Linked DNA regions of Cricetulus griseus. The protein of the gene in region 2 purifies or fractionates together with the protein of the main gene of each other region. This does not show direct contact. Links are inferred from orthologs where the notes say so. Each region holds a gene or a part of one and is shown on either strand. Other genes may lie near its edges.

Region 1 (4,530 bases), on a different chromosome or scaffold from region 2:
CTATTCCAAAACAGGCACTTATTAGGCAAATAAGGAAACTAAGGCACACAAGCTATTGGAAAGGAATACTAATTAATAGCAGTTGGCTTCTTGACCTACAACTTTCAAGTCTTAAACCAACAAGCCCTGTAATATCCACAGTGCTGGGATAGATACTCAAGGGTACAAAATTGGGTATCATTATAGTTGAATAATAAGATACATATGTTTTTACACATGTTGTACCTCAAACGAATCAAACAATAAATAAAAGCTGTCAAGATAAGTACACTAGGATCTGATCTTATTGAGAAGCACTGAAGTCACCTATATTCTTTGGCCCTAGGAATGTCCTCAATTCCAGAAGGGCCTCAGAAATGGGAATGATCCAAGAGTTACTTGGTTGAGTCAAGCTGGAATCCTCATGGGTGAAGGACTACACCATTTGAAATAGGCCTTTTTCTCACACTATTCAGTACCATGCCAAGTTCTTTTCCACCCTAACCTTTCCCATAGTTTGTCACATTATCACCACATGGAAGAGGTACACAAGTGACCTAAGTCATAAGTCCAACTCAAATTCTGAGGGGGAATAAAAACAAAACAAAACAAAACAAAACCAGATTACCTAGAATTTACTACATGACCTTGACTGGTCCATTAACTAAATAAATACCTTTTATCATCATTAAGGGAAGGGCAATTAGTCATCATAATGCATTTTAATACAACGTAAATGCCACACAATAAAGTTCAAAGAACAAGATTAATAACAAGGAGACATACATACTAGCAAATGGAAACTTACAACAGGGTCTTCCCACACTCCTGGCAGACTTGCTTATTTTAGCTAATGGGAGTCTCTAAAGTCATTAGCACTTGGCTTCGCAATAATACTCATTTGTGTTATTCCTCTCAGGAAGAAGAAAGGAAAGGGGATATTTACTGCTTGTTGGCATTTGGCATTTCAGTTACTGGTTAGCCAGATTGACAATTAACAATTGAGTACTATATGCAAGGTACAGAGTTAGGTTCCAGAGATAAAATGGTAAACAAGAATCCTTGCCTCTAGGAGTTTACAATGTATAAAGTATACAGTTTACAATGTATACAGATTTTGGCTTATCAGTATTGGCTTGCAAGAATATAGTTACACTGAAATAATGGAAAGGAACAATAAAAATACTCTCAAGTATTTAGATGAAAGGAGGTGGGTTTATGGTAAGAGATAAGAGTCAGAGGGATTAGGCTATCAGATTTTCCTATTCTTTCCCTTAACTCATCTGAGGTACTATGCTTAAGCATTTTGCTTGTAAGAACTCTGTGTATCCAAATAGTGTAGATTGCAAAAGGTCACTTCTTCAGCAAAGCAATCAGAGGAACCAGAGCACTAAAAATGAGGTCAACTGGCTCCCTTAGGATCAAGGAACCTTCCATAACCTTTTAAAGGCACTATTGGTAGAAATCTTTTAATTTTGTGAGAAAACAGAGCTGAAGCACACAGTGATGACTTCTCTTTTCTAGACCTGTTTTTATTAATTTCCTGGAAGAGGGGGTGTTGGGATGCCCTCTCAGGTGCTTAGAACAGCTTAACTAGTTCAGGTGCGGGAACCTGGGGGGGGGGTTAACTACCCCTGCAAACCTTGCTGTTTTGAATTTATACCAGACCTGAATCCCAGCAAATACTGTAGGCACGGTTAGCTTTGAAATGACTTTATACAAGAGGGAAATATCTGTCATGTTTTTCATTGGCTTTAGGAAGGTCACCTCTTTGCAAAGGTTCTTTGGTCTACTGTTAACTGGGTGCCAGATAAGTGGAAAGTCAAGGAATGTTTGACAGAAAGCACAGGGGATCTCAATCCCACCAACTGAGAGGGCTAGTTAGACTCAGCCCTCCATAGATTCTCTTTCCCAAGAGCTGTAGAAGGATGTCCTTTGGGCTGCAACCCACAGCACAATAGGCTGAACTTGTTCTGCTTCAGTAAGTGCAGTAAAGAATGAGCAATCATTTCTTACCACCCACCTCTCCAACCCACCCAAGCTTCTTTCTGGAGGGATGTCTAAATGATCTATTCACATGACTGGGATCAGCCTGCATCCATGACAGTGTCTACTGTCACCAACCCCTCAATTTCCCTTTCTCTCACACTTCCAAGCAACTGGAAGCCTGGAAGGCGAAAATCATTTTGACTTTCAATTTCTTGTTGCTTTTAGAGCCTTCAACCAGTTCATACAGTTTTTCCTCTTGCCTCTAAGCTATCACGCAGTTGTTGGTTAAACGGCCAACGCTCCCCAAGAGATGCCTTGAAAAAGCGCTGCCCGATTTCCCCACTTACTTAAGGGGAAATTTCCTGTATACCCTCATCCCCTGGAGAGGTCACAGGGGTCAGCTGAGTCGTTCACCCCCTCCCAGTCTTTTTCTCAAGGCTCTCCATCCAGGAAAAAGTCAGCCGCAAATATAAGGCCTGGCCCTGCCGGGCTTCAGAAAGATCCAGGAGGACTCCGGCCGAGGGACAAAGAAAAGCGAGGTCAGAGCGGCCTCTTCGGCCTCAGATAGGCCCATGGCCGCTCACCGGCCACCCCCTACATCGTGTCAGTGGTCCCCGAGCACCCTAAACCTTAGCCCGAAGTCCCGAACTACCCGAGCCCGGGCCCGGGGCTTGCTCGCGCCCCTTCCGCGAGGGCCCCCGCCGCCACCCAGAGCCCCGCACCTTCTTGGGAGCCTTGGTGACTGTGGCCATGAAGGAGTACTTCTCAGCGTCCTCGATCTCCTTGGCCTGTTTCAGCTCCTCCCCGACACCGGGCAGCGGCATCGCGTCAGGCATCGACATCCCCCGGCCGGCCCGGCCCGCGGCTAACCCGCCGCCCCCGCCTCTTTCCCTCACGGGCGCCCGCCCGTCCGCGCGGCGCCCTCGGCCACGCGCTCGCCCGCCTTCCCGCCAGGCCCCGCGCCGAGCTGCTGGTGCTTCCGAAGGGCTGTGACCCGCGCGCCTCGTCGGCACCGCCGTACAAGACTGCCGGACAGCGACGGCGGCCACAGAAGAACCAGAAGCAGCAGCGCGCAGCTCCGACTTGCCCGCGCAGCAACCTCCGCCGCACGCAAGCACGCACGCAAAGTAAGGGTAGAGGGCGGAGACGCCACGTCAAGTACTGGCAGGCCCAAGGAGGGTGGGGAAAGAGGCGGGGAGAATTGGCGCAGTCTGCTGATGTTACCACGCTGGGCCGGGCCACAAGAACAGTCCTGCCTCCTTTCTTGCTCCTGGGTGATGAGCTTTCCAGGGCGACTTGTACCATGTACGCCGCCAGGTGGTGCCATCAGCCCTGTTGAGCCCGGTGTGGTTCCTATAAGGATGCCTCAGGACTGAGCGGCCTTGGACTACCAAATGAATTCCCCAGGAGACCTTGGGGTAGGGAGGTGGCCCGGGACAGGAGTGGGGTGGGGGACGGAGGGGAGGGCGTATAAAGAGCGATGCTTGGGGCCATAGGTCAGAGTCCCACAGGACACATCTTAGGGCCTTTTCTGGAACAGCCTTCTCACTCGGCCCACACCATGGCTGGACCCTTTGGACCAGAAGCCCATTTCCAAGGGACAGTGTTTGCTTTTTGACTTCATAGGGGGCAGAACAAGCTGAGAGCAGTCTGGTTTCTACCCAACCCTTTATGACCTCCATCACTATCTCCTCCTGGGCCTTGTCTGTTTACAAGACCTTCAGGCTGCCGTGCTGATGTCAAGAGGTCATTAAGATAGGGTTGATGGATCAGAAGGTAGAGAACTAAAGGCAGATTGAGAAAAGGTCGGGCCAAATTGACCCTCCTGCTGCATGCTCTCTCTGGACATTAGTCTCTGCCTGCCAGCTCTACTCGGAGTGAGCATGCCATGAGTGCGTTCAGTAGCACTCTCACAGTTTCTACTGTGTACGGTCCCTGTGTAAGGCCCTGGATGGCAGAGGTGCCTGTGGCACATTTATGGTTTCCAAGAATTCGTCCATTTGGAGAGGGAAAGCTTGTTTGTGTCAGCTGAGGTAGTTTGTCCTTTGAACATCATTCAAATGACATTGGCTCCAGTTCCTATGTCCTGTGGAAAGTACAATGTTGTCCCCAGGATTTCTGTGAATTACTGAGGGGACTTAGGTTTTGATGGTCACCCTTGGCTCTAGTTTGCTGCCTAGTCTGAAATTTTATTCACTATTCCAGTCTTATGACTGTTTCTTTAGCTCTTGGTGTCACATCAGCCTGTTCTCTTTCCAACTCCCACCCCTAAACCACAAAAATGAAGCTATAATATGTAGCAAAACTTTTAATGAAGGTTTGTGGGTCACAGGGGAGAGGTTACATCACATAGCAAACAGTCTTCAATCACATTTCTGAAATGTTCCGAAAAGTTATTCCAGCCATCTCATCACCTTGGGATTTCTCAATGGCCACAAAATCCCACAAAACTCTAGCATCCTACACATCCAGCTGCCGCCTGCTCCCTTTTCATCCCTTTCCTTCACCCTTCTCTCTTCCGTGGATTCAGAGAAGCCAGATTCTTCTCTACTGTGTTCAGAG
Region 2 (4,601 bases):
TCATGACCCGGCCCTCCTTGTCCAGGCCTAGGTACCAGGCCCGGCCAGAACGACGCTGGCGATAGAGAGCAGAGGCATACAGGACATAGTAATTCTCAAAGACGCACTCCTTAAAGCGACACTCTGCTGTGAAATGTGGCTGAGGAACAAAGATCCAGAAAGAGGAATGGACACACACACACACCAGACACATACACACACACACACCAGAGACACACACACACCAGAGACACACACACACACACACACACACACACACACACACAGAGAGAGAGAGAGAGAGAGAGAGAGAGAGAGAGAGAGAGAGAGAGAGTTATATCACTGGCAGAAGGGAACCCTTGGGAAGAAACAGCCAATATGCAATCCATACATTTTTTTCTAAAGGAGGATGGCAACCAATGAGGCCATGCAGAAATCAGAGCACAGAGAGAGAGAGTAAGGAAAAGCCTGGAGGGCCATCCAGGGGTAAGAACTAGACCAATAGGGGCTCTGGAAATAAGATCTCTACTCTGCATTCCCAGTCTCTTACTACTTCCTATCCAGAGTAAAGGTGATAGGCTGAGAAGTGGGGGGGATGTCTGGAAGAGTCAGACATCCAAAGATCCTGGGGCACTTTAGGATAAGCGGTGCAAATAGAGACTGGATGTACTCTCAAGGACCACTTTGGAACAGGCAGTGATCAGCCAAAGCAGGAAGGACAGAGTCCTGGGTGCAAGTCCTGTCTGCAGCAAAGGATGGTCGCATGCTGACAGTGTCCCCAGTACCCCAGGCCACTCAGCAGCATTGTCTTACCGAGCTGTACAATAGCCCCTCAGCATTCATGGCCATGTAGTGACCCAGCTTGGCACTCTGGATGGTGACTACGCGGAGCCCCACAGGAATCAAATTGAAGTGGGCTGGGGGAGTAGAGAGCAGATGTCAGGACTCAGTTGCCTCACTCTCCTCTGAGTCCCCTCCGAACTCCAGCTCCACTGCTCCCCTTGGGGCTCAGGAAAACAGACTGAAGACAACAAAGCCTGTCATCTCCTGTCCCTGGCTCCCCACTCCCCACCCTGCAGTTGGCTTCCCCTCTCACTGAAGGAGCTGGTGTCCTCTGGGGTGCCCTGGATGCTCCCATCCGGATTCGCCTGGAGGTAGAAACCCTGGCGGCAGAACAGTTTGGTGACGATGCCTTTGAGCTGAGGCTCTGGAGAGAGAGACATTCATCTTTGAAAAACGACATCTCTGTTCCCAGAAACATTCCTACACTTGGCGGGATCACAGGCTAGAAGGAAGGGGAAATGAAGAGAAGACGGTTCCGGGCCCCAGCTCTCTTACCCTTCAAGCAAGCGTCCTCCCACCCCTCTTTGATTCCTGAGGAAGCTGGGGTGTGGGTCTCTTCCGCTTTCTCTAATCATGAGCGTCAGCTTAATTTATTGAAATTTATTTAAATGGCTTAATTCCTTCTCCCCACCAGAGTTGGGGGAGGGGGCAGAGAGGAGGTAGAAGAGAAAGATATGAAAGGTAACGGACAGTGCTAGAGACGCAGGGCAATGTGTTTGCAAATGTCGGGGTGAACAGCAAGGTGACCATAGGGAAGGGGCTCCCCCTCAGAAGCAGGGGTGGCACTGGGTTTGACTGACGCTGACTCAGCACCTGCTGCTGCAGCTGCCGCTTGCTTGGCGCGGGCCTTGCTTTGGCTCAGCGCCGGCTTGTCTGACACTGACCCATCTGTCTGTCTGTCTGTCTGTCTGTCAGTCAGTCAGCTGGCTCAGGAGGGTCCAATTCTCCGTGAGACTGAGCCTCTAACCTTCAGCCAGGTAACTAGCCTGGGATAGAAGGCATTCATACCACATCAAGGATAAGGAAGAGGGGACAGAGATGGAGAGGCAAGCTGCATCACGTGGGGGCTGGGTCCCACTCAGAGGGTGGGCTGCGGACTGTACCACTACCTACCGTTGATGGTGCGGAAGGAGGGCGCAAGGGGCTACCCCTAGGGGAACCGGCAGCGGCCTGGAGAGAAGCCAGAGGGACTCCCTAACTGTCGTACCTGGACGGGAATCACATACCAACCCTTACACCTCTCCTTTCCCGCGGCTTGCTCTCTGCCGATTTTCCTCTTCCCCCTTGTAAGTGGTACGACCCCCCCAAGTCTCTGTGCAGGTCCTCAGCATGAAGTGTGTGTGTGTGTGTGTGTGTGTGTGTGTGTGTGTGTGTGTGTGTGTGTGTGTGTGTGTGTGTGTGTGTGTGTGTTCCTACTAGCAGAGGGTCCCCGGAGCCTGTAGGATCGGATTTCCGAATCGCACAGGAGTAATGGGAGGGGTGCTCAGCTCCCTCCTCGAAGCGCAGGTCACAGAAGGAGGGCGTACGGAGGGGGCTGGATGACGAGGTAGCTGCAAGGACACCCGGGGGAGAGCTGGAGAGATTGGCTCCTGGCCAGGCGAGCTCGACCAGGAGGAACAGAGCCAAAGCGTGGAGGGGCGGGAGAACCGGAGCGGGGGCGGGGCAGCCAGGGCTGCAGAAACCCTCGGGGTGACCCAAGCGTCCAGAACCCCCCAGGTTCCTCCGCTTCGGATGGAAAGAATCGCGAGAACCTGCACGTAGGCGAAGAACCGTGGGGGTGGGGAGTCCTGTGTTGAAGGGGGGCAGACAGAAGCCTAGAAGCTTGGGTCGTTAGACTTGGCCCCTCAAACCTTCCCCTTGCCCTCGAAAGCAAGGAGACTCGGCATTACGGGCAAAGAGGAAGGAAACTGAAGCATAGTCCCATAGGTTTTGTCGTTCTAGCCCACCTCTTCTACTTTTGGGACAACACCCCCCCCCCGCGCGCGCACCATCAGCTGCATTCTTCAGGGTCCCGGGTCCCAGGCAGAAAGACTTCTGGCCCGGAGACCCCGCCCTAGTCACACTCACCTGGGCCGCGGTCCTGTCGCGTGGGCCGCCCCCCGCACAGTCGCACCTTGGACAGCAGGATGAGGAGCTGCTTCTGGCAAAGAGACTTGGTGCCGCGGGGACACACGCGCCGCTGCGCCGACACTGGCCGGCTGCTCCCGGGCTCGCGGACCTCCCGCTTCTGTCGGATCAGGCTACTGGCCAACGCCGCCATAGCGCCCCGGGAGGAGACACCCCCAAGCCAGCAGGCTCCCGGAGCGCCCTGGGCTCCCCTGGAGGAGCCCTCTCACCAGGGCATGCTCTGGACCCAACCCACCGCCCCACCCACAGGACCTAAGGATTAACCCCAGACCCCCCTTGCTTCCCCCCACGCCCCAACCACCGCTCTCACCCTTGGGCCCTGCACTAGCTCCAGCGGCTCCAACAGCCTATGCACTCTTTAGCTGACCTCACCCATGAATTTTGTCCCCTAATGAAAGCTCTCCCCTCCCCTCCTCTCTGGCCTCTGTCCCCACTTCCTGTGTCCCAAAGTCAAGACCCTCCGAAATGCCCAAGATGCGTTCTCAATATCCTCAGACTTCTTTCCACCCTATTTTGGGGCCTCTCCTGCCCAGCCTACTCTTCTCATCTGAAGGGTGCGGGTCTTTATCTTTGGGGACATTAGCTCACCCTGGGCTGCTGTCAATGTCAGAGAGGAACCCAGTCCTGATGTTTTTTTTTTTTTTTTCCTTTGCTATATTCTAAATGGAGTGGCTCTCCCACTTTCTTCAAAAATCCCCCCCAAATATGTCTTAATATGCAGTGAGAAGGTTCAGTGAGAAGGGGTTCCCAGATCCTCTGGCTGGATAATGCTTTTTCTCACAGGGTTCCAGTACCTGGGGTTCTAGTACCATAGGGTTTCAGCTGCTGAGACCATTTCCTTACTTTGTTACCCTCCACTCCTTTTGAAGTCACCTCCAAATCAGCCCTTCCTTCCTAGTGCATACACCAGGTGGTTGTCTGGAGGACCCTCTGTCACCCCGAAACAAGGAGCATCTGTCGTTTTTGTTTGTTTTCTGGTTGCCCCTTAAATTTCCCGAGGGACAACTGGCACTACTTAGATCCCACACCCTCCAATCTAACAAGGCCCCCAAGAGTGGAGAGCACCCACGTTGTCAACACTCCTCAAACGTCAACAGGCCTTAATAAGTCATAGCGCATCAGAGCTTCCTACGACAGGGCTTCCTCGTCCTCCCTGGGATTGCTTTAGCGCCCCTTCCTTTCCCCGACGCCCCTCAACCTGTCCTGTCCTGTTGATCCGGGCGACGGGTGTCGCGGGCTCCGGCTCCAGGCTCCTCCCTCCCTGTCACCCGCAAGCGGAGGTTCCCCCCAACGCCGGCCTAGGTGTCCGGGACCCCCAGGAAGGAGTGAAGATGTCTCTGCAGAGCGCCCCGGTTCGGCAAAGTCAGAGCACTGGGCCTGGAGGTTGGACCAAGCTGAGCGGCGGCGGCAGGAGCAGCGGCTGTGGGAAGCTGAGGCGGCGGCGGCGGCGGCGGTGGCGACAGAAGCTCCCCCTCCTCTGCGAGCCGGCCCGGGGGCGGGGCAGGGGGCGGAGACGCTGGGAAAGAGGGAGGCGAAGCTGGGCGGGCGGAACCCTGGGGTTCCTTGGAAGCTGTGAGCAGGGACTGTTTCAGAGGCAGGCGGAATCGAGGCAAGGCCTGCAAGTCTCGGGGTTCAGAGGAGACAAGACAAGG

What was found.
Region 1: the proteins of Fgf11 (region 2) and Ahcyl1 purify together in Homo sapiens (affinity purification with mass spectrometry; 3 studies listed by BioGRID and IntAct, with this or other methods). This does not show direct contact. The link is inferred for Cricetulus griseus from reciprocal best matches to the Homo sapiens genes FGF11 and AHCYL1.

The regions. Positions count from the first base shown.
Region 1 is NW_023276806.1:49,463,760-49,468,289, reverse strand, and holds the start of Ahcyl1 (S-adenosylhomocysteine hydrolase-like protein 1), read right to left. Parts: upstream 3,072-4,530; 5' UTR 2,811-3,071; coding exon 2,691-2,810; intron 1-2,690. UniProt on the Homo sapiens protein: Multifaceted cellular regulator which coordinates several essential cellular functions including regulation of epithelial HCO3(-) and fluid secretion, mRNA processing and DNA replication.
Region 2 is NC_048600.1:83,649,988-83,654,588, forward strand, and holds the start of Fgf11 (fibroblast growth factor 11), read right to left. Parts: upstream 3,083-4,601; coding exon 2,890-3,082; intron 1,187-2,889; coding exon 1,076-1,186; intron 897-1,075; coding exon 793-896; intron 140-792; coding exon 1-139.